Rhinolophus ferrumequinum: one gene and its partners. The protein of the gene in region 4 interacts with the protein of the main gene of each other region in a pairwise test. Links are inferred from orthologs where the notes say so. Each region holds a gene or a part of one and is shown on either strand. Other genes may lie near its edges.

Evidence for each region.
Region 1: the proteins of SH3GLB1 (region 4) and HTATIP2 interact in binary tests that used the Homo sapiens proteins (3 or more experiments, as listed by UniProt). The link is inferred for Rhinolophus ferrumequinum from reciprocal best matches to the Homo sapiens genes SH3GLB1 and HTATIP2.
Region 2: the proteins of SH3GLB1 (region 4) and RIC8A interact in binary tests that used the Homo sapiens proteins (3 or more experiments, as listed by UniProt). The link is inferred for Rhinolophus ferrumequinum from reciprocal best matches to the Homo sapiens genes SH3GLB1 and RIC8A.
Region 3: the proteins of SH3GLB1 (region 4) and TPD52L2 interact in binary tests that used the Homo sapiens proteins (3 or more experiments, as listed by UniProt). The two-hybrid records come from large-scale screens. The link is inferred for Rhinolophus ferrumequinum from reciprocal best matches to the Homo sapiens genes SH3GLB1 and TPD52L2.

The regions. Positions count from the first base shown.
Region 1 is NC_046294.1:34,026,704-34,034,399, forward strand, and holds the start of HTATIP2 (oxidoreductase HTATIP2), read right to left. Parts: upstream 3,002-7,696; 5' UTR 2,909-3,001; coding exon of another isoform or gene 2,904-2,908; 5' UTR 2,864-2,903; coding exon 2,751-2,863; intron 2,442-2,750; exon of another isoform or gene 2,381-2,441; coding exon 2,185-2,380; intron 464-2,184; coding exon 356-463; intron 1-355. UniProt on the Homo sapiens protein: Represses translation by preventing reactivation of elongation factor eEF1A. May also inhibit nuclear import by competing with nuclear import substrates for binding to a subset of nuclear transport receptors.
Region 2 is NC_046294.1:33,251-41,174, reverse strand, and holds the start of RIC8A (synembryn-A), read right to left. Parts: upstream 3,007-7,924; 5' UTR 2,857-3,006; coding exon 2,773-2,856; intron 2,489-2,772; coding exon 2,441-2,488; intron 2,354-2,440; coding exon 1,763-2,353; intron 1,359-1,762; coding exon 1,267-1,358; intron 709-1,266; coding exon 558-708; intron 1-557. Other genes in the region: BET1L (BET1-like protein), read left to right, coding at 4,711-4,925, 6,131-6,239, 6,501-6,557, 6,676-6,843.
Region 3 is NC_046306.1:288,536-296,428, forward strand, and holds the start of TPD52L2 (tumor protein D54), read right to left. Parts: upstream 3,010-7,893; 5' UTR 2,874-3,009; coding exon 2,855-2,873; intron 422-2,854; coding exon 276-421; intron 1-275. Other genes in the region: protein ABHD16B, read right to left, coding at 4,984-6,396.
Region 4 is NC_046292.1:65,169,261-65,176,360, reverse strand, and holds the start of SH3GLB1 (endophilin-B1), read right to left. Parts: upstream 3,018-7,100; 5' UTR 2,697-3,017; coding exon 2,625-2,696; intron 1-2,624. UniProt on the Homo sapiens protein: May be required for normal outer mitochondrial membrane dynamics. Required for coatomer-mediated retrograde transport in certain cells. May recruit other proteins to membranes with high curvature. May promote membrane fusion.

The DNA of each region.
Region 1 (7,696 bases), on a different chromosome or scaffold from region 4:
CATTTATAAAGAAAAAGGAAGAAAAAAAATGCTTACTGCTAACAGCATGAGTCAGTTGGTTTACCTCAGCCAGGGTATATAGTGACAGCAATATTTGCAAGAGGCAAGACATTGTAAATATGTATGATGTCTCCAGCACACAGGCCTGAACTCAAGGATTACATTGAGGGAAAGATGAACTTATCAGCACTATTCAAAGTACAGCAAAGAATAGGGCAGCATATGAAATCTTAAATGATAAGAGCTTGTTTATATTTAAGCACTGCAAATGTAAAGGAAAAGAGTGAGCAAGAAAGGAATCTTTGACATTACTGGCCAGTGAAAAGAGAACGGGGTATATATAGTTCTTCCTTACCGCCCCGGCTTTTTTTCTGGTGGTACCCAGGCAACAGAATCCAACATCATGACCTTGAAAGGCAGCAGCATAGTCATCCAGCTTTTCAAAGTCCACCACTTTTTGATTCTAGATAGTAAAGACACAGCTGTATACAATTTGATGTTACCTTTTTAAAAAGACAAAATACCCTAGATTTAAAAAATCAATTAAGAACATTACTGAAGAGTCTACCCTCTTAACATCAAATTTTGCAAGCTCATTTCCTCCCACCAAAAAGCAATTAATCTAAATTCAAAATCAACAATGCGCTTATATGGACACAGTACACATAATTGAACTAGGGGTGATCCAGATCTCAAAAGTCACGTTCAATTATAATTTTCTCTCTGGAAAAATAAAAGACCTGTCTGTATATTGCCAAGAGGGATACCAATAAGGTATAATATGGGGGCAGGGAATGGTGTTTAGAATTTCAAAGACCTAGGTCCTAAGTCTTGGGCCAGCTAATTCCTAGGCCTGTAATTTTAGCCTATTTATCACGTGCCTCAGTTTTTCAGCAGTTAAATGCGAATGATAATCTTTCCTTCAGTCCAATCCATGAAGCACCTGCATTAAAATCAATCAGTGGGTGCTTGATAAAAGGGTGCATATTCTTAGGTCTATTCTTAGACCAATACTTCTGAGTCAGAAACTGCACTTTTAATAAGCACCCTTGGTAATTCTCACGCTCACTGAAATTTAAGAACCTCCATCTAACCTCATAAGTTTGTCATGAAACTTAAAAAAGAAAGTTTGAGAAATTCCCATCATACAAGAGTTGAAATATAATGTTGCTTTCCTTCCCTGCCCTCAACTCTTTCAAAATAATTTTCCTGGCACTGTACACAATGAAGAAAAAGATGTTTGCACAAAGTGCCTGACCAAAAGACGTGCAAAGCACAGAACTCGATTTCAGTTTCTAATTACCAGAAGTGTGTGACACGTCCCATAGAGCCAGACCACGAAGCCCACATGTTACTGCCTAAGTCTGAGCAAAGATATCCATTTTAAACAGAAAAGTCCTGGTGGACCAAAGACATATGCAAAATGACCTGAATAGGACCTGCAGGAGTCACGAACATTTATTTGTGAGACCATCTGGAATGTTCTACCTGTGAAACCTGTGGGACCAAGTCCTACAATTATGGGGTCTCGGGATTATACTATAGTTCAATTTACTTAAGTTCACGAATTCAGTTTAAATGCAGGGGAAGGAATTTCTATAAAGCTCAGACTTCAAATATTTAGGGGATCTGCACCAGACTGAATTTGTGTATCATTTGGTTAACCATGAAAGTGTAAGTGACAGTCAGGGGAATATTACACTTACAGACACAAGGCTGCAGCCCTGGCAAGTCAGGCAGGGCAAATTCTTGAAAGGGAATGAACAACACTTCCACAGCCATAGACCTTCCCTGTTTGGCAAAGCATTTTCTGATTCACTAACGTTAGTGAGGATGGGACAGGGAGACAAAACAAGCAAAGTGGACTGCCTCTAGAACCCAGCATTGAATGACCCTGGAAGTGTTGTTCTCCGTCTCCACAGCCTCCATTACAAACTACACCCAGCCTAACAGGTGCCAAGACTGAGAGGACTTTGCCCAACGTTATACAGTGAGGGAGGCGGATCTGGGCCCACAACCCAGGACTCCAGCTTTCAGTAAGGGCTCTCACAGACCAGTCTTGGCACATTCTGATCAGCTCTTGCCGCTTCCATTAGCCGGGCAATGGTCAGCCTTTAAGCATGAAATATTTCACCCCGCAGAATGACTGTTGGTACATTTTTGAGTCCCAGCGCCAATACCCACCACATTTTTATAAGCTTCCTCATCAAAGGTCAGTTTCCTCCGGCCAATGACTGTGACTCTGGAAAACAGGCCCTGTTCCAGGATTTCTTTTAAGAGCACTCTGCCGGTTTCCCCACTGGCGCCCAGAATAAAGACGGATTTATTCTGCATCTTGAAGTCTTCCCGAAGCTTCGGCAGCGCCTCTGTCTCGGCCATGCTACAGAAATAACATCAACAGGTGCTGATCTTCGGCTGTTTAAGGGGTGGCCTGGCTTACCCTGGGTAACAAGGATTATTTATTCGTGCTGGAGGAAGAGATTGTTATTGTCCGTAGCCTGGGCCCAGGGGAAAGGACTGAGTCACCTGCAGGGCGGGGTTTCTTGGCACATCCCCAGCACCTGAGACAACCCACACCTCGGAAGGGAACACAAACTGCTGGCACCAAAAGGCCTCGTTCCCCCACGGTACCCTTAGTTCGGATCCCTCCTTCCTCCGCCCACAGGGTACGGGGGAGAGGGGACAGGAGGGAGGGGGAAAGAGAGGGAGGAGGCGGGGACCCAGCTCGGTCCCCTACGTGGAGGGGTTACCTGGAGCTGGCCCCCAGCCCTGCGTCCTCAAGCGGCAGCAGAAGCAAGGCAGCCACCAGGGCGGCCAGCAGCGCCGCCACCGCCGCAGCGCTCAGTGCCACAGGCCTGAGCATCCGGGCATCCCTCCTTCCCAAGGGTTCCTTGTCCTCTCACCCCATTCGGTGGGCGCCCCTCCCAGGTCCGCCTCAGGTATCGAAGGCGAACAAGCCCGTGCCTACTGCACTTAGTCTTCCGGGTGACTTTCGGGTCGCTGCTAGCCCCGCCCACAGGGGCGGGACCTGGGGAAGAGAGCACTAGTCAGACCAGAAGTTTGGGCTCTGGTTGCACCCGCCCAGGAGCACGTGCGCAGCACCGGGCAAGGTACGGTGCTCCGAGACCTCCAGGACCCTCTCCTCGGCGTTCTTCCTCATCACCTGGGCTGAGCTTACCCACATCCACGGCCTCAGCCAACAGACTTGACTTTGGCTGATCCCTTTCAAAACCTGCAATTTCAAATGTGTGCTGGAAATCTGCATCTCGAATTCACCATGTCAAATCCAACCACCCCAAACAGGAATAAAACAAACCGATTCCTTGCCTCTCTTGGGTGTCACTGTCCCTATACATGCACACACTCCTCATCCCTCCCCTCTAGGCGTCCTAGTGACTGGAAGCACAGTATTCATCAACCCTGGCAGACTCTACCCTGGGAGGTAAGGCAGGACACCTATTTTACGGCTGTAGCCCCAGCTCTTGGGGCAGTGTTTAGCACTTAGTAGTTGCTCAAGAACATTTTTTGCATGGATGGATTTCTTTATATCTTAGAGGAGACTAAGAGGTCAAACATTCTTACTTTACAGATGATGCCCGAGGATGTGCATGACTTGTGCCAGTAGTAAGCCTCGGGCAGTCTCTTTAATAGAGACAACACAGGGCAGGGTTAAAGAGGTGGTGGGTAGAAAACATGAGAAGGGGCTCACGGGCAAAGGGTGCCCTGCCACACCACCCTCATGTCCTGCCAGAGCTCAGCTCCTTCCCCACCTCAAAGACAGTCCCTTTCTGAGGGGGAATTCTGTTGAGATAGCATGTCTTCTTTCTAATAAAGAGGAAGCAACATGAGGAAGGCACATAAAGAACCTAAAGGTCCCATGCAGCGAAGGAGCGAGCACCAGATGGAACTGAGGGTTTATTTAAGATATGGGGCCAAATGACGAGGGAAAACAGAGATGTCATGAGCCCTGAAAGTCAAGAAGAAGTGAAGAGATGGTGTATTCGTGTCTTACCGCTGCTGTAAGTAACAAATGACCACAAACTGGGTTGCTTACAACAACAGAAATTTATTCTCTCACAGTTCTAGATGCCAGAAATTTGAAATAAGGTGTCAGCAAGGCCATGTTCCCTCTGGAGGCTCTAGGGGAGAATGTTTCCTTGCTTCTTCCAGCTTCTGGTGGCTCCAGGCATTGCTTGGCTTGCAGCTACAAAAGTCTAATCTCTGCCTCTGTCATCACATGGCATTCTCCTCTGTGTTTATATGTCTTCTCTTCTGTCTCATATAAGAATACTTGTCTTTGGATTTAGGGCACACCCCAGATAATCCAGGATGGTCTCATCTGGAGATCCTTAGCTTAACTGCATCTGTAAAGATCCTTTTTTCCAAACAAGTTCACATTCACAAGTTCTCGGGATTAGGAGGTATAACTATCATTTTGGGGGCCACTATTCAACCCACTACAGATGGCAAACAGGACAAATGTTAGTCAAATTTTAAGAAAAAGTGTTGCTTGATGAGCTCTACTCTTAGTGAATGAAGATGAAGCTGGAAGTAATGTGCAGAGAAGGGATAAAGATAGAAGAGGGCTTTTGGTTAAAGCTCTTGCCAGAGTAACCTGTGGGATGAAGGCATAGACCAAAGCAGTCACTGCAGGAAAGAGGAGGAAGTAACGCATTTAAAAGACCTTATAAAATAGCTATCGTATTTAGTTATTTGAAGTTCTCTGCAACATTATGGGAAGAACATGGGACTTCAAATTAGAAGATCCATTTATAAGCCCCAGGTAGTGCATTGACTAGCTGTGTACATTTGGTCAAGTCCTTAGTTTTAGTCTGCTCATCTATAAATTGGGGGTAATAGCAAAACCAGCAGACTGCACAGATTTATAACAAAGTTCAAATTAGACACCACATGGGAAGGCAGTATAGGCTGGCAGTTAACTGTACAGGCCATGGCATCAGACCACCTGGTTTAAAATCCTGGCTCTGTCACCAGCTAGCTAAGTGACTTTGGGTGAGTTCCTTACACTTTCTGTGTGTTGGTTTTCCCATTTATAAGTATAAATGATAATAATTACCTAAATTATAAAGTTTCTATTGAAGGGTTAAATGAGATGATCCAAATTAATGCACTTAGTACCTATCATGTAGTAAACATGGAATAAATAGTATATTATTATGGAAAAGAACTTTGTAAACATCTAAGTACTATGGCAGTGACTTCCAATTCTGGTTACACATGGGCATTTCTTGAAGCTTTAGAAAAATAACAATGCCAGGGTCGTGCCCTAGACCTACAGAATCAGGATCAGTGGTTTTTAAAGCTCTTCAAATGATTCTGCTGCACAGTGAAAGGAGAAATTCACCATGGCAGAACATGTTATTAAGATCCATTTCCCAATAATATCCCTAAGGAGAATAGATACATAGTCTTTTCATTAGGAAGACCATAGAGTAAGCTGAAGCAACCTGGACTTCACTTCCAGTTTTTTAAAAAGCACTTATATAGCAGTTGATATATTCCAAGTACCATTAATCACTTTGTATGTATTAGCTCATTTAATAACTGCAATATCCTTATGAAGCAGGGATTATTATTATAGATAAGGAAACTGAGGCACAGAGAGGTTAAACAGCTCACCAAAAGTCACCCAGTTAGAAAGTGGTAGAGCCAGCATAGGAAATACAGTCTTCTGGCTCAAACAACCACACCAATCAGATTCTCTCAAAACTGTAGTGTCTCTCAAAACATGTAGTCTTTCTAAACCTCAGTTTCCTTATCTGTAAAATGGGGATAATAACATTTCTTACTTCATAGGGGCCTTGTGAAAATGAAGTGAGATACTGCATGTAAAGCACTGAGTAATGTATTTAGTATCTACTAAGCACTAGATGAGTCAGCCATTATTTTAATAATTTTAATGTTATCACTAATTATTCAGTTTCATGGAAATATAATGCAGGTTCCAGCTTAAGACTAAGTTTCCAAAATAGCAGCCTGTTCATCCATTTTCTGAGGCACGACACCTGATCCAAGGCAATGAGGGAGCTGTTATTTGCACTTCCTATCTAAGCCTCTGTTCCTTTCCAGGGGTCCCACGTAAAAGTCCTATGGGGCACAGGGAGACTTGAAAAGCTAAAAGGCCTATTTCACTAGTGAACAAACAAAAAGCTCTGCAAAACATTGAAGAACAATCAGCACAGCTTCGAGGGCCCCTTTAAGTGAAGAAAAAGTGAGAGGAGAGTGGGTATGCTTTCTTCTTCCCAAGAGAACCTGCAGCTTTAACTTCTCAAGGAATTCAGAGAGTTGGGATGTGTGTGTGTGTGTGTGTGTGTGTTGTATGAGTCTCTAGGAATAGGAACTGAAGGAAATTCAAACTGATAAGGTTAATTATGGCCTAGTGGGACTAGGGAAACCCAGGTGACACAACATTTTACAATTCCTGACACTAATTAGAGTACATGCAGAGAGGGAAAACAAAAGTTTAATCTGTAAGGTTGTGTGTGTGTGTGTGTGTGTGTGTGTGTGTGTGTGTGTGTGTGTCCTGGGTGTAGAAAATAAACCCAGATTCAGTTTCCTGAATGCATCAGCAGTCCTGATTACTTTCCACCACAAAGCACAAGAGGGCGCCAAAGAAGGTGAAAATTTTTGTTTTCCAGGAAACCACTCAATGTTAGAAAATTCTCTCTGATGTTTTTATATAAGGATGCTTACTATTCTCTTGATTTTTAAAAAATGAAATAACTATGTGTGTAAGTTTATTGGCTACTACTTATGAGTGAGGTGGGTAGTTAGTTTACAAATGAAAAAGATAAAATAAGTAAACAATAAAGTAAGTAAACTGGAGAAGGCAGAAGGTAATGGAGATTGCTAGTAATTAATTCCTTTGTCAAACATGTATTAGTTGCTGTTTGTGTGCCTACTAGTTAAATGCTGTGGGTGCAAAGATAAATTAACCTACAATTTTGTATTGAACTCATTAGTAACATCAGAAGTCAAAATATTCATACCTTATTTTTTCTTATTTGAAACTTTCCTTATCCTCTTCACATATTTACCCTTTAATGTTCTCAAAGGAAGTTTGTGTAGTGGTTAAGCACAAAGGTTTTGAAGTAAGACAGCTGGGCTCAATTCCCAGTCCTGCCACTTTCTAGCTATTAACCTCTCTGTGTCCTAGTTTCCTCATTTGCAAAATGGGATGATTATAGTACCTGCCTCATTGGATGCTGTGAAGATTAAATGAGATAACCCCATGCAAAGTGCTTGAAACTGTGTCATATTTAAAAGCTCAGTGCCTCTTAATTCTTATTCAGATACTACCCATCCTTGGAAGTCCAGCTGAGATCATAGACAGAAAGATTGGCCCATAAGGCATTGTTTGATATAATTATTCAGGCCAATAAATTCTCTTTTGGTTCAGTCACTTCCAACTGAAAGACTCTTGAGCGATATAGCAGCTATATTTATTAATTTCTTAATTTGTGTCAGTTACTGTGTGATACAGTTTCCATATCTTATCCGTTTTATCTTTTAATCCTCATAATAGCTCTATGAGGTAAAGATAAGATAGGTACTGATATTATTCCCATTTTACAGATGAGGACTCTGAGAGTAAAAACCGTTAAGTAACTCACCTAAGACAGCACAACTAATAAATGGAAGAATCAACATCTGATTCCATTCCTAGTCTTACTCT
Region 2 (7,924 bases), on a different chromosome or scaffold from region 4:
GCAGCGGTAGTGCTAGGAACAGATGGTCATGGCTAGTGTGTCCACTGCTGGGCACATGGCCTAGCCCACCATGCACGTGAGTGTGGGTTCCCGAGAGTCTGTGCTGTGCGGCGTGCACATCCACGAGCTCCCGGAGGGCTGCTGAGAGCCCCTGCCGGCCACTGTGCTCAGATGCAGGCACCTGTGGGTCACGGGACAGTTGACGCCAGTACCCGAGAAATTCCTATGCAGTGACACTAAGACTCTGGAGTCCCAAGCAGGGGCTGGGGGGCTTCTCAGGACCATTCAGGAGGGAGCCCCCCACAGGTCTGAGAAAGAAGCACTCTGGTTGACTGAAGACGCTCCACGGGAAGCTGCACAGTCAACCTCCCTGGCATGTGTGCTTCTCAGGGCAGAGGGCCTGGCTTCCTGCCCGGTTGGACCCGTGAGGCTGGGGGCCCAAACCATGGCACTGAGCCCGTCTCCATTCACCAGTGTGGACTTTGCAAAAGCTGTGGCCACAGCTGCTTGGGAAGCCAGAGCCAATGGGCAGCCCCCACAGCAGGACCCCTGCCCACCTGGTGCAGACGCTTCTCCAGGAAGCTGAGGAGGACACGGATCACATCCATGTTCACGCCCAGGAACTCCAGGGACCCTTCCTGCGGTTCCAGGGTGAGGAGGACATCCAGACACTGGAGGGGCAAGTTCCCCAAGAGGTTCACTGTGTGGCTGGGGACAGACGGGGGCGGGGGGCCTGCTAAATCCAGTCCCCTAGCACAGGCACAACCCTTGGTGTACCCTGCTGGGCTCCACACAACATGAACCTAAGGAGCAGCACCAGGAACCGAGGCTGAAGGGGCACTGACCTCGGGCACTCCTGCCCAGTGGGGTAGGTCCCCAAGAAGGGCAGCACTCTGTGCAGATGCCCCACCTGCCACCCTCTGTCTGGGCTAAAACATCATAGGCAATCTCTGGGAAACCAGGGTCTGCCTATGCACAGGGCACCGAAAACAGCGGTAAGGAACTACGTCGCCCTGTAGATACCATGCCACCCACTGCCACTACCCGAGGTCCAGTGGCACTTTCCTGTCCACACACAACAGCTCTTATCCTAGTACGTATTGCAAGTGCCGGGCTCTCTGGAAACACACTGATGTCTAGTCCCACTCAGATGGAAGATTCTGCAGGGTGGAGCCCGGTCCACTGGCTGGGCTGGGAACCCCATCTACGCTACCTTCTACACTGGTGAGCACACTTCCCTCCCGGGATGACAGGCCCCACACTCACCCATGGAACTCCTCCGTGCGGTCTCCAGCAGCAGCCACCATCACACAGTGCCGCAGGAGGGTCCCCAGGTGCCGGTAAAGGGCAGCATCTTCCTGACAAAGAAAAAGGTTCCTGTGACAGAGAGCCACAGTTGTCCCACCGCTGCCAGCTGGCGTGGTGTCTACCCCAGTCCAAGACCACGTGTAGTGACGTGCATCTTGTTGAGTGTATGCCCCAGCCCCCCAGAAAGAGCAATGCAGCCCCTTGGGAGTGCATCCCACTGTTTCCCAGCCCCCATGCACTCTGGTGGCAGGAGTCACCTGCAGCCTCTCACCACAGCCCTCCTGCCAGGCTCTAGGAGCCCTGGCCTCCGCGTCCCTCAGAAACCCTCCTCGAGGCCTCAGAACTGGTGTCTCCTTGCCTCCTGCCTCCTCCCTGTGTCAGACACCCGTCGGCAAGGCACGCTGACTACCCAGCAGCGTTACGCGAGCACCAGCCACCGCGCAGGTCGACTCACCTGGTCCACCTCCCTCTTAACAGAGTCGAACGTGATGTTGAAAAGCACCTTGAGGATCTCCATGGCCCGCTCTGTCTCCTGGGGAGGAAGAGACCTCGGGGTGCTGTCTTTGGGGGTCACCCCCAGCGTCAGCTCCAGCGCCTCTGTCAGTAGACGCACACCCTGCAGCTCCTGAAACAGCTGCTGGCGAACGTCGGCACGCAGCGCCGTCAACAGGAAGAGGAGGCGCAAGTCAAAGAACTGGACGTCGTGCGGGACGCCGCTCTCCCCGTGCAGCCCCACGCGCTCCGCCAGGCTCACCACCAGGCGGGCCTCTGCTGCCAGCACCTGTGCCTCCGGGCTGCTGAGCACCAGGTTGCACAGGCACTTGAGGGCCTCGAGGACAATGTCCATGTTCAGGGCCTTAGGAGCTAACCCCGCGGAGCCGGAGATGCCAGCATAGCAGGCCAGTGCCTGCAGGCTCTGGCGGCTGGTGAAGGGGTCCAGGCAGCTGCGGTCCCTGGACAGGATGCGGATGCTCTGCAGCCAGGTGACGCGGCGGGAGAGCGGCAAGCCCTGCTCCAGGCCCAAAACCAGCAGCTCCGCCAGCCTCTGTGGGCGGAGGGAAGAGTGGCTGCAGCAGGCGTGTCGGCCAGCGACCGCCCGTCCCTTCTCCTTCACCCCTCGGGCAGCACCCACCTTCCTGTCCTCCTGTTGGGCGTCCTCAAACGTGAAGCTCTGGGAATTCTGCAGAGAGACCCAAAGACTCAGGGAGCACAGGTGCACACGGGCAGGGCCCGGGTTCCCAGGAGGGCCCTGAGGCCGCAGGGACCCCTCTGCAAAGGAGCCCCACCCCTACACACCTGTTCCCGGGGCGCGCACCCCGACTCGCCCCCCAGCAACGCCTCGTAGACTCTGCGCCCCGCCCCTCCGCGCTCCCTCCCACACTCACGCACCCGCTGCCGGCCACGCGCGTGCCCCACCCTGCCCCACCGCCTCCTCGCACGTCCCACGTCCACGGCTCCGCTCACCTCCAGGTTGTACGTGCGCAGAGCCTCCATAATTACGTCCTCCTCTCCCGTCTCCACGGCATCCGCAACCGCACCGGGATCCATGGCGCCCCCGGCACGCGGCGCCGGGAAGGAGGGAGGGGCCACGCTCCGCGGTTCCGGACCGGACTCCAAACGCCTCTCCCTGACTCGATGCGTGGGGGTCGCCGGGACCGGCGTGCGCGGCGCCGCGGGGCGGGGCGGAGCTCGCGCGGGGTACGCCGGGACGGGCGTGCGCGCCGCCGCGGGGCGGGGCCTGGGCTGCGTGCGCCTGGCGGTGGCGGGGCTGGGAGCTGGCAGGCTCTGCCTCCGGGTCAGCACGGGCTTCAAGCTCCGACTCGGTGATGTTTGGAATTCGGGGCCTCGTGACTGCCCCCGCTTCTTGTGCCGGAATTCCCGGCAGGAGAGGACCGCAGCCCCCAAACCCCCACCACGCGCACAACAGCGCTCCTCTGGAGCCGCCCCACGAATGCGATGTCGGGGCAAAGCCGAGGTGAAAAGGACTTTGCAGCCCTGTGACCACTTGGTTTGTTACGTGTTCGAGTGACTGCTGCATGCGAGGCGCTGGGATGCGGGTAAACAGGACCCACACGTCCCTGTCTTCGTGGCGCTGACGTTCCAAAAGTCAAGGGCAGCCAAGAAAAAACGGACAAACGAGACGACTTCAGGCAGTCGTAGTGCTGTGATTTAAAACAGAAAGGCGTGTGGTTGTAACCGAGCGGTTTGCTCCCCCCTGCGCTGCGCGTAGCCAGTTACACTGACACTGGGTTGCCCTGAAGGAAGCCTTTATTGTAGACCGCCATGCATTGGAGAACCAGCAGCTTACGCGGGAAGAACCCGAACTCCCTGTCCGCTTGTTGGCAATTGGTTTTAAAGGGTGAAATGGAGGGTAGGGGGTCTTCAATACGTTATCAGTTCCGGGGTACCATATGATTGGTTGGAGCTGGAGTTACAAAGACATCTTAGTTCTGGTCATCAGTTCTCTGGCGCCAGCTAGCCTGATGTTTACGTGCCTGTTGGAGGTTTTGTAAAAACACTTCCAGGTACGCGTCAGTGTGTTAGCTGTGAATCCACAGGGCGAATTGGTGCCCCAGGAGCCTGATTTATGTCTGAGAAAAAAAAAAAGGGACTTGGGTCTGATTTGTTACAAACAAGAAACAGCGGGGGTCGGGGGGGTTTGCTGAGAAGGGATCGTGTCTGGGCTGCGTGGTGCGCTGCAAAGGGCTCTGCGGTGGCATTTTTTCTGAGACAGGACGCTAAGAAGTGAGCCAGGAAAGGACGTGGGGGAAGGTGATTCAAGGCAGGAGCAGCCACTTGGCAGTTGGAGAATGGCCATGGGGGAGAGAGGAGTGTGGGGAGGTCAGGATGAAGGCAGCGCCTGATCACGTGTCCGGCGCGACTTCCCAGCTGTGTAATCGGGACACACTGCCTGGCCTGTACTCAGTCTCCTCTTTTGAAAAGCACAGGTGATAAAAATTCCCATTCCAATGGTTTGTGAGGACTTATGACAGCAAATGATGTCTTCGGTGGGTGACTCCTGCAGCAAGTCTTTGTTGGGCATCCCGGTTGCGCCAGGCCCTTTGTCAGCAACGCCCGCGTGCAAAAGCGGGAAGCTCCTACCGGCCACACGTCCCCGCCACTTCCACCCCACCCCTGCCTCGCCGCACCGTCTTGTCGGAGCGCTTCACCCCTACGTCTCCTGCGGCGCTCGCTCGTTGCGGGCACCGATCTCCGCCGCGTCCCTCCAGCATTAACTGGGGCCGGGACTTCGCCACGAACCTGCGCCTTAACCGCACCGCGGCGGGCGGGGGCGGCTCCTGTCCGGACCTCGCCGCCCCTCTCTCGCCTGGGTAAGGGCCATTTGGGACCTGACGCAGCCTTCGGCGAGAGTGACGAGTGTATGTCAACACCCTCACCGGCATGGAACACACTGACGCCCCGTCCGCAAGTCAGGCCACTTCTGCTCCCACCGCACGGCCCCCGCGGCCCGGATCTCAGCCGGAAGCCGGCGGGCCCGAGCGGAAGGGGCGGGGCCGGAAGCCCCGTCCCGTGACGGCCACGTCGCCGGAGCCTGTGGCGGAAGCGTTGACGGAGCCCGGGGCCGGAGCCGCGCACGATGGCGGACTGGGCTCGGGGTGAGCGCGGGAGAGTGGAGCCGGTGGCGGCGGCCCGGCCGTCGTCGACGCCGCTGCCAGCAAGAGCCCGGCCGGCTGGGTGGCTTTGGCGGGTTGACCCGCTGGCGGGCGGAGCCAGGCCGGGCCGACCAGGCGTCAGCCGGCCCCGCCCCGCCGCCCCTGAGGGGTCGCCGGACCCGGGGGTGTCCCCGCCCTTCCCCATCGCGCAGCTGCGGGGGCCCGACGGCCACGGCCCCCACCGTCCGCACGGGCCGCAGGCCAGCCCCCGGGAGCGGAGGCTGCGTGCTGGGAGGGCGGAAGCAGGCCTCGTGGTGACTGGGGCCTGGGCTCCGAGGGCCTCGGGGAGCCCCGCCCGATGCTGATGCCGCTTTGCCGAGCTGTTTGGTCCTTAGGAGTCAGTGAACGCGAAGGGGCTGGTGGGACGTAACACCCTTTCCTTAGGGGTCTGCACATCGGTGATTCCCAGGGCTGCTCCCCCATTAGAGGGGTCACGTCGAGGCTTCTGCCCCACGGCAGGTGTACACTCTTAAGTGGGGGGCAGGTGGTTTCCACACGCCTGATGTGCCGGTAATTGCGAATCACCTGGCCCCGCCCTAGTCACTGGCAGGTCTCAGCAGGCACCACGCCCTGTGTGGGTCGCAGCCCTGATCAAATGTCATCCCTGCCCTTGGGGTCTGTTTTGGGCAGCACTGCTCAGTTGTCGGCGCTCTGGTTACTTGTCACCTCACCAGGACCCAGTTCACAGGTGTCCCCTGCAGGGACCTTCCTGCTGCCCCCTGGGTGCCTCTCCTATACCTTTCCTACATCCACACCAGTTTACTGTTTATCTCGTAAAACAGGTCCCATGTACACCATTGGTGACATCCATGGAGGGATGGTACAGGTGGTGTCATAGTACCCCAAAGTGCCAGTTTCACTGAATTGTTTGTGGTTGTACACTTTGGGGGTGCCTGCCTGTCCCGGCCTGGACATGTGCTCAGGCCATGCGCTCACACAACAGGTGGTCACGCACACTGTCACCCAGCCTGTCTCATGTGCGAAGTCCTTGCACCAGCCCCTGGGGTACAACTGGACCTGCTCAACAAACAGGTGGACCCCGTTCCCCCAGACATGACACTTGGCCAGATGGGATCGTAGTGGGAGTCCTGAGGTCACGAAGGGCCAATGCACAGGGTCAAGGGCTCATGGGTGGTTGTCCCCCTCAGCCTCTCTCTTCCTGCAGCTCAGAGCTCTGGCGCTGTGGAGGAGATTCTAGACCGGGAGAACAAGCGGATAGCCGACAGCCTGGCCTCCAAAGTCACCAGGCTCAAATCGGTCAGTAGTGGCCTCTTCTACCTCCACCTGGACCTGCTCAGGTGGGATGAGAGGGAGGGTAGAGTCCTGGAAGGGTTAAATGTGCTTCCCGTCCTTCTGTCCCATCCATGGCAGCGGTCACCTGTGTGAGGGCCAGGTGACATCTGGACCTGACTTCTGGTGGTGGCAGGGTTGTTGGCAGCGTCTGCTGGTCTTGTCGGGGGTCAGGCGCTGTCCCGTATGTCTGCCCTGGCCTGACCCTGCCCCTTCTGTCCTGACCAGCTGGCCCTGGACATTGATAGAGATGCTGAGGACCAGAACCGGTACCTGGATGGCATGGTAAGGGTCTGCGACGTGCATGAATGTCGTGGGCAGCTCTGCCCTGTACTGCCTGCTTAGCCCCCCACCCCATGCACACGGCAGCGCCCGTGTGACCCAGCTGGGATTCCTCCCGCAGGACTCGGATTTCATGAGCGTGACAGGCCTGCTCACGGGCAGCGTGAAGCGCTTTTCCACAATGACGCGGTCTGGGCGAGACAACCGAAAGCTGCTGTGCGGCATGGCCTTGGGCCTGGTCGTGCTGTTCTTCATCCTTTCGTACCTCCTGTCCAGGGCAAGGACGTGAGCCAGTGGGAGCTGGCTTCTGCGGGTGCCCGGGCTACCAAGGTCTTCCCTACCTGGTGTCCTGGGCTCCAGAGGACCTGCCTACAAAATACTCCTTTGAAATGATGACCGTGGCTTAGGCATCTTCTTCCTGTGTGGCCGGGAGCCCACGGCTGCCTCTGACTCAGCTGTGTTGGCTGGTCCCATGTGTGCAAGGGCCCAGGTGCGAGAGGCACTGGCAGAGCCATGCCTGAGCAGAACAGCTGGACGTCCTGGACACGGCTGCTCGGGGCCAGCAGCCCTTTACAGGCCCTTGGCTCTGATGTCTCAAGGCTCCTCTGCCCGGTCATCTTTGTCTGGTAAGGTCACATCTGGTGTCCGAGGTGCCTGGACCTGACACAGGAAGCGGGTGTGGCTATGGGCCTCTACTCAGCGCCATCTCCTCCAAGCAAGAGTCTTCAGCCCAGGGGTGGGAGTTACTCCTGGCTCGGGCTGCCGAGCACGGGCCCACCGCCAGGCCTCTGCCTGAAGCCAGACCTTCGGGGAAGGGCAGGGGTGTGGACGAAGGAGCGGCTGCAGTCGTGGCTGGAGGCACTGGACCTTCATCCTTCTGGATCTCGCGGCTGTGTATGTGTCAGGGTTTAAGATCTTTCCAGCACCAAAGATGTAGTTCCAGGAGAGCAGGGCTGCAGAAACGGGCCCATCTGGCACTTCCGAGTCAGGCAGGGGCAGGGAGGGGGCTTCCCTGCACCAACCCTCCTCATGGGGCCCGTAGGTCACTTTGTCAGGGTCACTGGGCAGTTTCCTCCCACAGCGAGTGTCCCCTTGCTGTGCATGAGCTCTGAGCCACACCCTCGTCCCCAGCTCCTGCACATGCCCGCCCCGCTCCCCTTTCCCTTACTGCCCACATGGCCAGCCCCCGGCTCACACAAAGCAAACCACAGGCCCAGCCAGGCCAGTGGCTTCTCACCCCACAGTGAGAACCCAGCACCCTTGACATGAAAACACGTGTTAGAAAAGGGGTCCCCGTCGGCTCTGCCCTTGTGCCTGTCTTCTGCCTTCCCAGTCGCGCCCCTGTCCACCCACCTGCCCCATCGCCCTAC
Region 3 (7,893 bases), on a different chromosome or scaffold from region 4:
ATTGAGGGGCAGATAAGACTCATGGGGTCTTGAAAACATGGTATTAATTCCAACAGAGAGACTGCCAGCAGAGGGTGTGCCCGGAGTGGCTGTCCCTGTGTGGCCATCCTCAGGCAGCAGTGACCAGTGCCAGGCACGTACAAAGCACAGGATACAAAGGGCAGTTTCTCTGGGGCTCCAGGGACAGCCTCTCAGGGTAATTTCTGCCAGCACAGCCAGCATCGCAGTCTCTCATGAGCTTACAGGCTTCGCCTGCTGGTAACCCCGGACAGCACCTTGGTGAGCTCGGCCCTGAGCTCCTCCTCCTCGGCCTCCGTCAGCCCCTCCACGGCAGGAGTCTGGGCAGCCACTGCAGTGTCAACAGGGACATCTGTCATGGAGTCGGACAGCAGGCCTTTGTTAGGAGAATTCAGGTTGATATCTGCCAGGGACAAAATGAGGCCAGAGAGCGGCAAGTAAGAAGGTACAGAGAAGTAAACAGGGTAGAGGGCTCCACCAAGGGAGAGAGCAAGGCTGAAAGGACAGGGGGCCAGGGGCAAGGGGCAGGGGGTTGGGAGAGGGAGCCGGGGACTAACAGTGCCTCTGCTCTCAAAGGTTCTGTGAGGACTGTGTGGCCACTGGACTGCAGCAGCCACACCACAGTCCACTCCGATGCTGCTTCTGGGCCCGAGACACGCGGTGCACGGCAGCCATACCCTAACTCTGTTTCCCCTGTGGAGTGTTACCTTCTGAGACAGGAAACCTTCGCTACAAAGCAGCCCGATCTAACAGATCTGCCATTTTTAGAGCAAAGGAACCCAATACGGCTGTACACACAACAAGCACCACTTTCCAAACACTGATCTGCCAGAGCGCACACCACACTCACAGCCATGGAGCACGCGCTTGTCACCAGCCCCGCAGGGTTTCGGCAAAACAAAAGTCCCTGTGAGTCCATCCTGGGCCCTCACAGGCAGGGCCCGCAGCTCACAGTGGGTGCAGAGGGCACAGTGTCTCCACCCCTCTGCTATGCCCAGATCAGGTTCATGTTCCTGCAGCTCACAGTAAATTCAGCTTTCTTTCTACATGAACTTTGGAAGATCCCATGCAAGGAAACATGGGTCTGCTCAGTTCTTTCCAACTCTAGACATACGACTGTCATTTAGTACATTTACACTCTCAGCACTGAAAACACCCTCCCTTTGATCAGCACACTCTGTGAAGAAACAGACGTTGTACGGAGTGTGGCACGTTTAAAAATCAGTTAAAAGAAAAGGCACAGAGGTTAGAAAGCAGTAGACGTCTCCTTAATGGCAGGTATGTTTGTCCACTGTAGAAATCCTAGTCTGCTAAATATAGACTGAGTGCAATCAAAAGCAAAGATGCCTTCTTAGCCCCCCACATGTCCTGCAACTGGAGCTGTGTACGTCCTTGGTGCTCAACAGGTGTTTACTACATGAAGTTGATTCTGATGTTTAACTGAAATCACCTACCTGACTTCATCATTTGTACCCTTTATGCTGAACCCACTCAAATTCAGTAAATGCCTTAAAAAAAACGCCACAGGTTTTATCTTCTAATCTGGCTATAAAGCTAAAATTGGATCCCATGGAAGTCACCCCCAGGTAGAAACTGGGCACTTACCAAACATGCCAGGCACTGGACATGCTGGTGACACCACCTCAGCACACCCCGCAGCTAGATGCCTCCTTAGAGGACGCCGAGGCAGCCAAGTGTCTTATCAAAGGACCCACAGAGACTAAGCGTGGGGCTGGTGCCATAGGCAAATCTGGGGGCCAGAGTCCTTCACCCTGGGAGCCCCAGCTGTCTAACCCTGTATACTCATCTGCAAAATGCAGCCAAGACAAGGACACTCTACTCTCAGAGGGTTATTCTGAAAGTGGAAGGAGATCATTTGAGACACAAGCTTAGCAAGGTGTCTGGCACACAGTTAAGTGCCCAGTTACTGTGTCCTGTCTGTCTCACCATCAGAGCCCAGGGCTTGTGACACTGACCTAAATCAGAGGTGCAAGTCCAACCGTGAAAAGCCTCCTGAAGTATCAAAGCCCTGGGCTTTTCATGCTCAATTATTTTGTAAGTCGTCCTCAAAAGTAGGAAAGTCTACAGAATGTCATCAGAAGCGAGGGATTCTAACGTTTAAGGTCAAACAGCAGGAAAGCTTGCTGAGATTCTCCCGTGAAGTTATGTCAACGCAGGCATTCGGCACCGCCTCCCCGGAGCCTCAGGATGAGGACTGACTTGTATCACCTTCTGCAGATTTTAATCTCCCGGGCCCGCTCCACACCCCCCGGCGGCATCTCCGACTGCTCTGGGCTGTCTGGTCTGGAAGCAGGCCAGGTGTGCCGGGTGTGCCCCTGACTCACTGCACCCTTCCCTCCGGGAGACGATCCCGAAGTCGGCGGGGCCCCGAGCGGCGTCGCCACCCAAGGGGCGCTGCGCTCCACGCGAGGGCGGGTCACCTCCCCTCCGCGTCCCTCCCCGCGAGCCGCGCACAACACCTCAGCCCAGATCCAGATGGGAGTGTCTCCAAAGGCCCGGGCACGGACGGAGAGCGGCCGAGCGGCCGAGCGGGCGAGCGCCGGGCGGTGGCATAATGAGCGCTGCCCGGAGTGAGAAAACCCAAAACTCGGGGAACCAAGGGAGGGTCCCAGCGGAGGGAAGCGGCCCAAGCCGCGGGCGGAAGACCCTCGCCACGACCACCGGGAGCTTCGCGGTCGAGCGCCTGGGAGCTGACCACCGGCCGGGGGCGGGCGGGCGGAGGAGGTGACAGAGAGACCCAGACGCGACCCCGGGGAGGGCGGAGCGTGGGCCGGTCCGGGCCCGCAGGCGACGGAGGCGCCGCGTCCGCGGGTACCTTGGCCAGCAGAGTCCATGTTCAGGCGGCGTACGGGCCTGCGGGGTCGCGGGCGCTGTAGTAGCTGAGCGGGCCGCACTGGGAGTCGCTCGCCGCGCACACACCAGCCAGCGGAACCGCCTCAGCCGCCGCGACATTACGTAATCAGCGAGGCGACGGCCCACTTCCGCTTTGACGTGCGCTCCGCCTTCGTCCCGCCCTCACCAGCGCTGTCCAATAAGGGCGTTGCTTGGCCCAGTCCCTGTTCATCCGCTCCAACCCGATTGGTCACGGCTGAGAACGAAGCCGGACAGGAATCCCTCCCAGGCCGGCTCCACCAGCGAGACGCACAGGTAGAACGGTCCGAAGGAACCCTGGGAAGGTGGGAAGTGGGAAGATCGTCCAACATGGCGCCGTGGAGCCTCTCCACCCCCGCCCTGTGGAGGTCTCGGGGATGCTTGCCGCTCCCTACGAGCGCCACAGCACACGCAGCTGGACGGGTCAAACTCAGACCGCTTGCGATCCCTCCAAGGCCCGACTCCCTGACTTAGGGGTTAGCCTTTCCCTCCAGTCTGTCTTTTTGTTGTTGTTTAGTCCGTCCATTTACGGAGATTTTTTTATTGTATGGGGGTTGCGTAGAAAAAGACGTGACCACGATCCGTCCTCTTGCGCTGCAAGCGCCGCTGCCCTCACCTGGTTGGAGGCGTCTAGGTTCCCGGGCGGGCACCGGGCGTCATGCACGCGCAGGGCATGAGCACGCCTGCCGGGAAGCGCTCCGGCCCTGTGCAGCGTTCGGCCGGTGTTCTCGCAGTTCCTTTTCACAGCCACGGGTTGAACCAGGTGGAGCCCTCCCCGCTTTACAGATGAGGACACTTAGGTTAGAGTCACTTGCCCAAGGTCACTCAGCTAGTTGAGGGGCTTCCAGCAGACTCTGGAATGAGAGTTGGCCTAACTTCTCATAGGAGATATGTGTAACTGTCTGGCAACCTGTCTGTCTCCCTGAGACAAGTCCCACAACTTACCATCTTTGTCACCTAATTGCCCCTGGAAGCAAATCCTTCAATGGTATTCAGACCCTTCAGGATTTGACTTTTCTGGAACTACTCTCCTTGCAACCGAGCCACTCTGATCCCTAGGCACACAAGCCCCTTCCCTCACCTCCTGACTAATTCCTCTTCCTGTCTTAGCTCAAAGCTCACCTCCTCATCACAGACATCTTCCTGGTACTTTGGTCACTTTAAGTACCTGCCTCTGCTTTCACTGGCCAAGGTGCATCATGGCTGTACCCTGTGCTGGTGTGATCAGTTACTCATATGTGCGCCCCACTTACCTTTTTCAGTTTTTCCAGAGTTTCTTTCTCAACCCACCCCGGCCAGCCCTTGTCCCCAGAGGCAAGGGACACCCAGCAAGCAGTCCCTGCTTCATGCCGTTCAGGGCAGATGGCAAGGAAGCAACTCTATGACAAGTGGTGGTGAGCAGAGAGTTTGTCTCTTTCTGCATTGCATCCCTGAGCCAGGAACAAAGCCCAGTCCAGGTCTGGCTCAAGGAGGTGCTCGGCAGTGAGTGGCAGTGCAGGTGTGTCTGCAGCCCTGTGTGGGCTTGCCGCTGTGTGTACCTGTTCCTTTGAGACTGTGGTCCCACAGAGACTGTGCATGCCTCTGGTAGAAGCTAGGAGCGGAGGGGGGAGGGGACACTACGGAGCAGCAGCATCACACTCCAGGAAGGTGCAGCTGCTAAGACCTGCTCTATACACCTCCGATGCCAACGTCCTTTACAGCTGGGGGCGACTTGCACAGACCCTTCCACACCGTCCTTCCCAGAGCCAGCCTGTAACTCAGGCCAGGTGAAGGGCACGGCCTAGGGCTCCCACCATCCTTTTGAGGTGATCAAGGCACCCATCACACAGCTTGCCAATAGTTGGGTCAGCTTAATCTTTGCATTCCCTTTAGGGGTTGAGAGCAGACTGGGACATCCACAAGTGTTCGAGGGAGGAAGAGAAAGAAGGGAGTGGGGAACACCCTCCCCTCCCCCAGACACCAGGTCGGGATCCCCAGGCGGGACCAGCTTCACTGGTCGGTGTGTGGGGAGGAGAACGGACCTGAGGCCCAGAAGGTGTGCGAATATGCAGTCTGGCGCTGCAAGGGGACGGGCTACAGCCTCCAGGGCAACTGGAAGTCCTCAGGCTCCAGCGGACTGCAGTGAGTCGCCTCCACGTTCTTGAGGTGCTTGCGCGCCAGGAACAGCGCGAGCTGCCGGCGCCGCCGTGGGCTGAGGCCCTGACCCACGAGCCACGGGAAGGCGAGCCCGTGGGGCCCCCAGGCCTCCTCGTCCTCCTGCTTGTCGTCGCAGCTCGCGCGGTAGGAGCGCAGCAGTTCCAGGCACCACTCGTCGTCCACGTGGTAGCGCGCGTAGAAAGCGGCCTCCTGTGCCAGGCTGCCAGCGCGCAGCCAGCGAGTCACGATGGCGAGGCCCTCACGCGCCATCACAGCCGGGTAGCGGTGCTGCAACAGGCGCAGTAGCAGCTCATTGCCGCGGTTGCTTTCCACGTCGCTGGACGGCAGGGGGCGCAGGTGGCCCGAAGTGCTGACCACGTCGTCCTGCGTGCGCCGGAGCAGCAGCACCGGCCCGGGGTAGAGGCACAGCTGCTCTGCTACATTGAGGTTGAAGTGCTCGCGCACGGTGCGCACCACCAGTCCCTTCCAGCTGTGGGGCATGACCTTCACGGCCAGCGGCACGAGGTCGTCGAAGGTGGCATCGAGGACCAGTGCACCCAGCTCCGGGTATGTCATGGTGGCCCAGGTGGCCGTGAAGCCGCCAATGGACCAGCCATAGACCACCACGTGTGCAGGCGGGAAGTGCAGGCGGTGCAGCGCGTACTTGACCACCACGTCCATGGCGTTGGCGTCGTGCTGAGGGAAGGGCTCGCCGGTGCTGCCCCCGAAGCCCGGGTGGTTCCAGCCCAGCACCGAGTAGCCGGCTTCCAGCGGCGCCGACAGGCATCCCATCTCGTAGAAGCCGGCGTTACCTTCGCAGCAGATGACCAGGCGCAGGCCGCGACCGCTGCTGCCCGGGTGCTGCCGGCGATCCATGAACATGGTGTCGATCTCGTTGCCGTCACAGGCCACCAGCTTGGCGCGCCGGCCGAGGTAGCGCTCCACGAGGCGCTCTTGGCCCTGCTGCAGCAGCGGCAGCAGCGCGCGCGTCATCAGGAACATGGAGCCGGGGTACACGAGCCAGCGGCCCAGGGAGTGGGCCAGTGCGTAGCTGGCAAGCTGGGCCGGCAGCTCGCGGATCTGCTGCAGGAGGCAGAGCGCCTGGCTGCGCGCCCCCCGCATTGGCCTCCCAGGCGCGTCCCCACCCAGCGCCGCTCCCTGCAGCAGCCACACGCCGGCTGCAGCCGCCGCGCATGTTAGCGCGCCGTAAACGCTGCCACCCGGTCCGGCGGCGCGCACGTCATCCCAGCGGAAGTCCACCGGCCAGCTGCGGAAGTTGTAGGTGTAATTGGCGGACAGGTAGATCTTGAACACGTGCACCAGCGCCTTCACGAAGCAGACCACACACATGGGCGTCGAAGCTACTGGGTGCTCCTCGCTAACCCTAATGCCCGGTCCCTGGGCCGGGGTCGAGGTGGGAGGCCCAGGCCCAGCCCGCCGCGGGGCTGTCTTGGGACATGCCTCCTCAGGGCTTGGTCTTAATGGCCTTTGTGACCTGGGCCTTCAAGGGCCCAGAAGAGGCTGGCTTTGTGAGTCACTGTTGCTGGGGGGAGACGCGACACCCAGTGATGGGCTCACAAAGGGTTCCCAGGTGTGGGGGCCCTCAAGTTGTGCCCCGCCCCTGGGACACAGCCTTCCAGCCCATGGCGGCCACACCCCTCCCAGGCCCTCCTCCGCCTGTATCTTCCCCTGTCCCATGCCACCCACACCTTGAGCGCACCTCTCCTCCTCAAACTGAAGGTGGATAGACAGGCCAGAAGTTGACAGCCTTAACCTCTTCCTGAGCGGAGGCCGGGGTCTCACTGGGGAAAATGCAGGGCTTCCCAGGACCCTGGACCAAGCTTGCTGTGGGACCTTCCCCAACTTCTGGAGGTCCCTGCGCGGTTGGGAAGGGAGCCGGGCAGGCAGAAGCAGCTGTGGGATCAGGCTGTGTGAGAGTTGGCAAAGACTATGTAGTCGTGTCCAGGAGAAGGCTGGGGTAGCAGTTCCCTGCCCAGGCCTATGCTAGGTGCCCCCAGCTCTCCCAGTGCGAGGGAGCTCCCCAGGAAATCCCACTCTGCACCACCCTGGAGAGCAGCAGAGGCCAGCTGGTGGGGCTGCTGCTGGAGCCCCCAGGCTGTTTGCTCATGGTTTGCGTCCCCCATCCCTCCACATCTTCCTTCCCAGGAAAGGGGGTGAGTGCAGGCTGGAAACCCCCGTCTGGTCTGGATCCTGTTTCCTCTGGTTCCAGCAGAGGCAATGACCTTCTCCAGGTAGGTCCTGCCTGGCCAGGGTTCCTCATTTTCAGCCCCTGGTCGAGCACTCCTCCCCTGAAACCACCCACGAGCTGTACCTTCCTCTTTTCTAGAGGCCTCTGATGGGTTCCCCTTTTTCTACTGCATCAGAGAGGGCCAGTCCACCTGCGGGCAAAGGTGACAGGGAGAGACACCACCCAGGGGAGCCAGGGAAGAGCTGGACTCGGGGCTCATTCAACAGTTGCTGTGCCTGCAACAGGGAGTTTGTCGACCCCCCGCGAGACCCTTGGAGCCCAGGACCCAGGCCTGCCTCAGAGACCCCAACCTCTGGGGAGGGGCTTCCAGAGCCAGCAGCCCCTCTCTGCTCCCCTGTGTGTCTGGGTCAGGGGCGCTGCCGGCCCACTCGGCCCCTACGATGTTGGGAAGAGCAGGGGACATTTGCTGTCCTTAGGCGTGGGGGGGTCGGGAGGGGTCAGGTGGCAGTGAGTGGGTTAGGAGGGTTGAATGTCCTCCCGGGGTTTCCAGATATAATACAGAGCACCCAGTTACATTTGAATTTCACATAAAGAACAGATACTTTGAGTATAAGTATGTCCTAAATATTGCATGGACA
Region 4 (7,100 bases):
TCTAACATACAGATTTACTATAAAAACACATATTAAAGGAACCTGTTCCTCCTGAATTTTTTCCCTTCTTATTAAATGGTTCAAGTCAACACCTTGGGGTCATCCTTGACTATCTTCCTCTCATACCCCCGAGTCAGTCTAAGGAGTACTGGATAGATTCTGAATCTTCCCTGCTATCACTCTTACTAAGTCACATTTTGCCTGTCCTATGGCCATAGTTCCCTAACGGGTCTGCCTAGTACCCCTGTAACCTCAGAGTCTTTGCACTTGTTCCTTTTGCCTAAAGTGCTTTTCTCCAAAAAAACTGTGAACTGTGACTTCCTTGAGGTCCCCTCCTATTAGAAAGGCTTGCCCTGATCATGTCTATACAACATGGCAACAGCTGCCACCTGTGCCATTAACCAATCCCTTCTGGCCTTTTTCTCCATCACCACCTGATGTATTCACTCGTTTGTCATCTCCTGCTAGATTGTAAGCTCTGGAAGGGCAGATGTTTTGTTGATTTTATTCACTGCAGTATCACCAATGTCCAAAATAGTAGGGATAAGCAGACATGAAGTAAACACTTAAGTTTTTAAGACTCAAAATTATTCGACAGTTCACAGATTAGAATACAATTTAAAAGCTTTTTCCTAAAGAATTTGAAACAATGAGTAATTATAATTCATCTGGAAAGTAGTACATCTTGTGAGAGCTTTGCCAGATTTTAAAAAGTGAGTCTACTGACAAGCTAAAGAAAATTCTACTATGTGTACTATTTAAGCAGTGTGGATTATATACCTGAAAACGTATCTAGCTATCTAAAAGAGTGGCATTATATAGTGTAAAATCTGCATTCAGCATCTAGAATCATAGGGAATCAGCACTAAAGCAATACCAAAGGCTCTGCCTCTCTCCTGCCTCTTTTGCCGTCAACATTAAGTCTCAAAATCAAACTTAATTTCAGACTCTCAATTCACTCACTCTTCTTGTACCTTGTCTTTGAACTATTTTAAGTAGGCTAATTTAAATCAAGAAATTATTTTAACGATAAGGTTCAATGTCTTTACAATGTATCTTATATTTTAATGGAAGATGGGGGAGAGAGGGTTAAGGCAGCTAGATTCACCATGCAGATTTTAAAACTTGGAAATCAAGAACTAGAAGGAATTTCCCATTTTTTAATTGTTACTTAAGTGTTACGGAAATGCTTAGATCGGAAATGCTTAGATCGTACTAGATGATCCTGAAGGTCTCTTTAGGCTGTAACATTCTATTATTCTATATATCCTAAACCTGCAGTGTTTATCCAGGAAGAGAGAAGTGGCTTGCAATAAGTAGTAGGTCAGCAAGTACTCGGCTATTTACTAGCCATGCAAGTTAAGCAAGTTAGTTAACCTCTCTGAGGCTGCTTCTTTATATATAAAAGGAGGTTAACGTTAGTAACATCTATCTGGCAAAGTTACAGAAAGGACTGGAGATAATTCGATAAATGTCTAGCGAAATGTGTGACAGTTTTTTCACAACACAGGCAGCTAGTACCTTGTTCTAGTTCTACCATGCTTTTGCCAAGCCTAGTGCAATGTAAGATCCACTGTGCCAGTAAAATTGGGGTAATGGAGACAAGGAAAGTAGTAAAGCAATACAACTGTTTTACATTTCAGTATCCATTTGATACCCGTATTAGAAAACTTGTTTTCTCTTTACAAAGGAGAATGCTGTTGCTACTGTGACTATGTCATTAACTTAAACACCAGATCGTTTATAACCCATGTTGCGGTGAAATTTACATCTGTTCATAGATTTCACTGAGTTGACATAATGTGGGTGATGTAGGAAACTGTCCAAGTTCTCCAGTACTGACACTTCCTTGTGGGGGTCCTCGAGATGCTTAACTTTGCCCCTTAAAGTGTGTTTGAAACAGACCGCTGTGACTACAGGCACAACATAAATCTCTCCCCTCGCTCTCCTCGCCCTACTGCCGGTGCTTCCCATTTTGAGAATGAGTGGAAAGCCCCAAACTCCTTGTTTCCCCTTGGCCTTGGCAAAGTCGGGACGCCAACTGGCGATCTCCATTTCTCCCGCGGGCTGCCAAGCCCAGGGGCCGTCCTTTCATGGAGAGAGAGGGCTGGAAGGAACTGTGTTGGCAGCTCTTTGGGTTGAAGGGCAGGAAAAGGAAAAAAACTTCCTTCTTAGACTCACTCGGCGGGGAGGGCGAAAGAGAGGAAAGGAAAGAGTGGGGGTGGTGCAAGAACAGTTTGTCTCTCTGCTACCCCCGCGGGACTCGCGAGGCCTCCGCCCGCCCCAGGAGGGAGGTCACACGAGCAGCCGCGTCGGGGTCAGAAAGGCGGGCGGTGCGGTGCCTCGGCTCGAGGCCGAACCCAAGGTGTCCTCCAGGGGCGGGAGGAGACGCCAGGCTCCGTCCCCACCCCACCTCGCTTTCCGGGAGCGGAGGGTGGGCAGAAGGGGTACAGAAAACTGACGCCAGGCCCTCAGGGGCACCAGGCCGCACCCATCAGCCGGGCCTCCGGCCGCAGCTCTCCCGCCGTGCGGTCAGCTAGACTGGGTGCGGAGGCCTCCGGCTGGGCGCTCCGACGTCCCCGCCTTGGCCCCGCGGCTCACCGCCACCCGCCCAACCCCAGTACCTGTACAGCACGGCTGAGGAAGGTGCCCGCGTCAGCCGCCAACTTCTTCACGTTGAAGTCCATGATGTTCATCCTGGGCGGCAGCCGGGCGGAGCTGCCGGCTGACCTAGCGGGGAGGCGGAGGCGCCTCGGCCGGGCTGGGGCGCCGGCAGGGAGTGGCGGGGGCAGACGTGGTAGGTGGAGGGAGGCGGCGCCAGCTCCGCCGCCGCAGCTGTCGTTTCCGTCAAGGGGGAGCGAGAGGGCGGGGCGAGGGGCGAGAACGCACGCCTCCGAGCCCGACGGGCGGCGGCGGCGGTGGCCGAGAGGTAGGGCCTGTCCAGTCCCGAGGGTGGCCGCTAACGTCCCGCTGGCAGCGGGGGGCGAGCAGAAGACGAACAGACTGGCGTTCTGACCCTGTGGGGCCGGGGCCCCAACGGAGCAAGCGGGCGCCGGCCGCGGGGCGGGGCCTTTATAGAGGTTATCGCGGGAACAGCGACCCCTTCAGGACCGCCGCGGTATAGCCGCGGGGCGTGCGGGTAGCTTGGCCTGCTCCTTCCTCCCCAAGGAGTGTCGTGTTCGCTGCGAGGGGCGCGCCACAGGGCCGCAGCAGTGCTGCGCGCTTGTAGTTAAGTCCGTGAGAACCAAGAGCAGAAACAACTCAAACCCACCTCTTTATTTTAAGACAAAATATGGAAATTGTAGCAAAGAATTACAGTATCTGTGAAATAGAAACAACAGCTCCGTCATCTTGTAGCACCTGTGCCCAGCTGCTCTCTGACGCCTGGATGGCATTCGGTTGCCTATGTTTGCAGGCCCCCGCCGGGCCTGTTGTTTCTTCATTCTTTCAAAATTATTGATATCTATTGTGTACAGGACTGAATCTAGTGTTGGAGATATCATGCTGAGATAAAATTGGGGTAATCCCTGGACAAGACTTTGTCCTTGCCCTCAAGAAGCTCTCCGTTCCTTTACTTAACAACCTTCAGGGATTTCTCCATCCCCAGTGGAAGCTCTTAACTATTTGCTGCCGCCACAGGACTTGGTGACTGCCTGAAGGCAGCATGCACCTGCTGAGATACAGGACCAATCTTAGGTGCCTGCTTTGTCCAGAGTATGGTGCCTGGGACACAAAGTGCCAAGTGGGGGACACTAAGAATTATAAAATGGTGAGTGAGATAGAATAACCCTTAAAGATTCAGGGTAGTGAATTTAATAACAAATGATAATATGATGTGAAATCTGTTCAAAACCCCCTAATTCCGAGTAACTTCCTAACCAGTCTTCATGATACAGCCTATAGTTGAACTAAATTAGAACAGGTGCAAGCATGGAGAAAGACATTAGTATATCAAGAATAAGAAAACACTGTATTTTTTGTGTTGCTGTGCCCTTTTGTTACATTAGGGCTGGGAAAATGCAGGCCCAGCAGGCAATAAAATTAGCTTGGATTCATGCTTGGTTTACTGAAACAGCAACCACAGAAAGAGTGGCTGTTGTTAAAGTCTGAAAGATTAGTTCCTAAAGGTATTATAAGGAACAGCAGATAATATTTGTGTTCTTTTATTATTTATGGTGGTGACAAAAACAACCACTTCTTTTTAAGATAACTCCAATAGAATGACTCTACAGGACAAAAATATTACATGTGTCTTTCATATAAGCCTGTTTTTCCAGAAATATGGGACAGAAAATATATAATTAGTAATCTTGTTTTTCTTTTATTGTCCATTTTAGATTTATATGTGGAAAAGCACTCTCTCTTCACAGATGTCTATCTTCACAATAAGTACATTTGCCATAATCTATGTCCATTTCTACAAAAGAATCATAGCATCACATCCACCCTTATAGGAAGAAACTCTGGGTCCTCTTCTTCAAAGGTGTAGATCTTCCTGACTTGGAAGACGCCTTCACATCTTCCTGTTGAGCCCACTATAGCTGTAATACTGTTTCTCTTGTTTCACTGACAGAGTCACACGACTATAGTGTACTGCCTCAATTTTCTTATCATCTATTTCCTGCTTAATTCCACGTAGTTGACTTCCACTTCTGTAACTATACCTAAAAACCATTTTTGAGGTTGCCAATTATATTCTTTTTAAAAAGTTTTTAAAAAGATTTTTATTAAAATATAGCTAACATACAATATTATTAGTTTCAGGTGTGCACCATATATTCAACATTTATATACCTAAAGAAATGATCACCACAAGTCCAGCAACCATCTGACACCGTACCACGTTATCACAATCTTGTTGACTATATTCCGTATGCTGTACATTACATCCCCGTGATTTATTTGTTTTATACCTGGAGATTTGGACCTTTTGTTCCCCTTCACCTTTTCTCCCTTTAAAAATTTTTCAATTATAGTTGACATTCAATATTAGTTTATATTAATTTCAGGTGTGCAGCATAGTGGTTAGACATTTGTATAATTTAAGAAGTGATCCCCCTGCCTAGTCTAGGACTCACCTGGCACTACACATAGTTATTACCGTATTATTGACTATATTCCCTGTGCTTTACTTTACATTCCCTTGACTGTTTTGTAACTATCAGTTTGTAGTTCTTAATCCTGTCACCTTTTTCATTCTGCCCCAAACCCTCTCCCATCTATCACCCCAACAAATCTAGTACCCACCTGACACCATACTTATTACAAGATTATTGACTATATTCCTTATTCTATACCCTACATCCCCATAACTACTTTGTAACAACTAATTTGTACTTCTTAATCCCTTCCCCTTTTTCACTCACTCCCAACCCTTCTCCCATCTGGCAACCATCAATATGTTCTCTGTGTCTATGAGTTTGTTTCTGTTTTGTTTGTTTGTTTTGATCTTTAGATTCCACATGTAAATGAAATCACATTGCATCTGTCTTTCTCTGTTTGACACCCCACTCAGCATAATATCCCTTCGGTCCATCCAGGCCACTACAGATGGCAAGAACCCATTCCCTTCCTTGGCCAAGCAATATTCCATATATATGTATAAGCTCCTCTGTATCCATTCTTCCATCAACAGACACCCAGGTTGTCTCCATATCTTGGCCATTGTAAACAATGCTGCAATGAACATATGGATGCACACATTCCCTTGAAGTAGCATTTGGGTTTCTTCAGATAAATACCCTGAAGTGAGATTACCGGGTCCTTCTTTGTGTCTTGTTATAGCCTTTGTTTTAAAGTCTATTTTGTCTGGTATAAGTATTGTTACCCCAGCTTTTTTGTTTGTTTGTTTTCGTTTCCATTAAATATCTTTTTCCATCCCTTTACTTTTTGTCTGTGTATCTTCCAGTCTGAAGGGAGTCTCTTGTAGGCAGTATATATTGTTTTCTTATCCATTCAGCCCTCCTATGTCTTTTGATTGGAACATTTAATCCATTTACATTGAAAGTAATTGTTGATAGATATGTAGCAATTATCATTTGATTACTCATAATTTTGATTTTTCCCCCTTTCTTAAAGAAGTCCCTCTAACAGTCCTTTTAATACTGGTTGGGTGGTAATGAATTCCTTCAGCTTTTTCTTGTCTGGGAAGCTCTTTACCTGTCCTTTGATTCTAAATGATAGCTTTGCTGGGTAGAGTAATCTTCGTTGTAGGGCCTTGTTTTTTATCATGTAGAATATTTTATGTCAATCCCTTCTGGCCTGCAAAGTTTCTGTTGAGAAATCAGCTAACAGTCTCATGGGAGCTGCCTTATAAGTGACGAGTTGCCTTTCTCTTGCTGCTTTTGGGATTCTCTTTGTCTTTAACCTTTGCCATTCTAATTATAATATGAATTGGTGTGGGCCTGTTTGGGTTCATCTTGTTTGGGACTCTTTGCACTTCCTGGACTTGTATGTCTATTTCCTTCACCAGGTTAGGAAAGTTTTCAGTCATTATTTCTTCAAATACGTTCTCAATCCCTTCTTTCTCTTTTCTCCTTCTGGCACTCCTATGATGCAAGTATTGGTGTGCTTGATGTTGTCTCAAAGGCCCCTTAAACTATCCTTATTTTCTAAGATTTTTTTTTTAATATAATTTTTTGCTGCTCTGATCGGGTGTTTTCTGCTGCCTTATCTTCCATATCGCTGATTCGATCCTCTGCTTCATTTAGTCTGCTGGTGATTCCTTCTAGTATAGTCTTCATTTCAGTTATTGTGTTCTTTATTTCTTACTGGTTCTTTTTTATGGTTTCTATGTTATTTTATATGCTTTCAGTCTCTTTGTTGAAGTTCTCACTAAGTTCCTTGGGCATCCTTATGAGCATTGTTTTGAACTCTGTATTCTGGTAGGTTCCTTGTCTCCATTTTGTTTAGTTCTTTTTCTGGAGCTTTCTCCTGTTCTTTCATTTGGGACGTATTTTTTTGTTTCCTTATTTTGGCTGCCTCTCTGTGTTTGTTTCTATGTATTAGGTAGGTTTGCTATGTCTCGCAGTCTTGGCTGGGTGTCCTTATGTAGTAGGTACCCTGTGGAGCCCAGTGTCACAGTCTCCCTGGTCACCTGC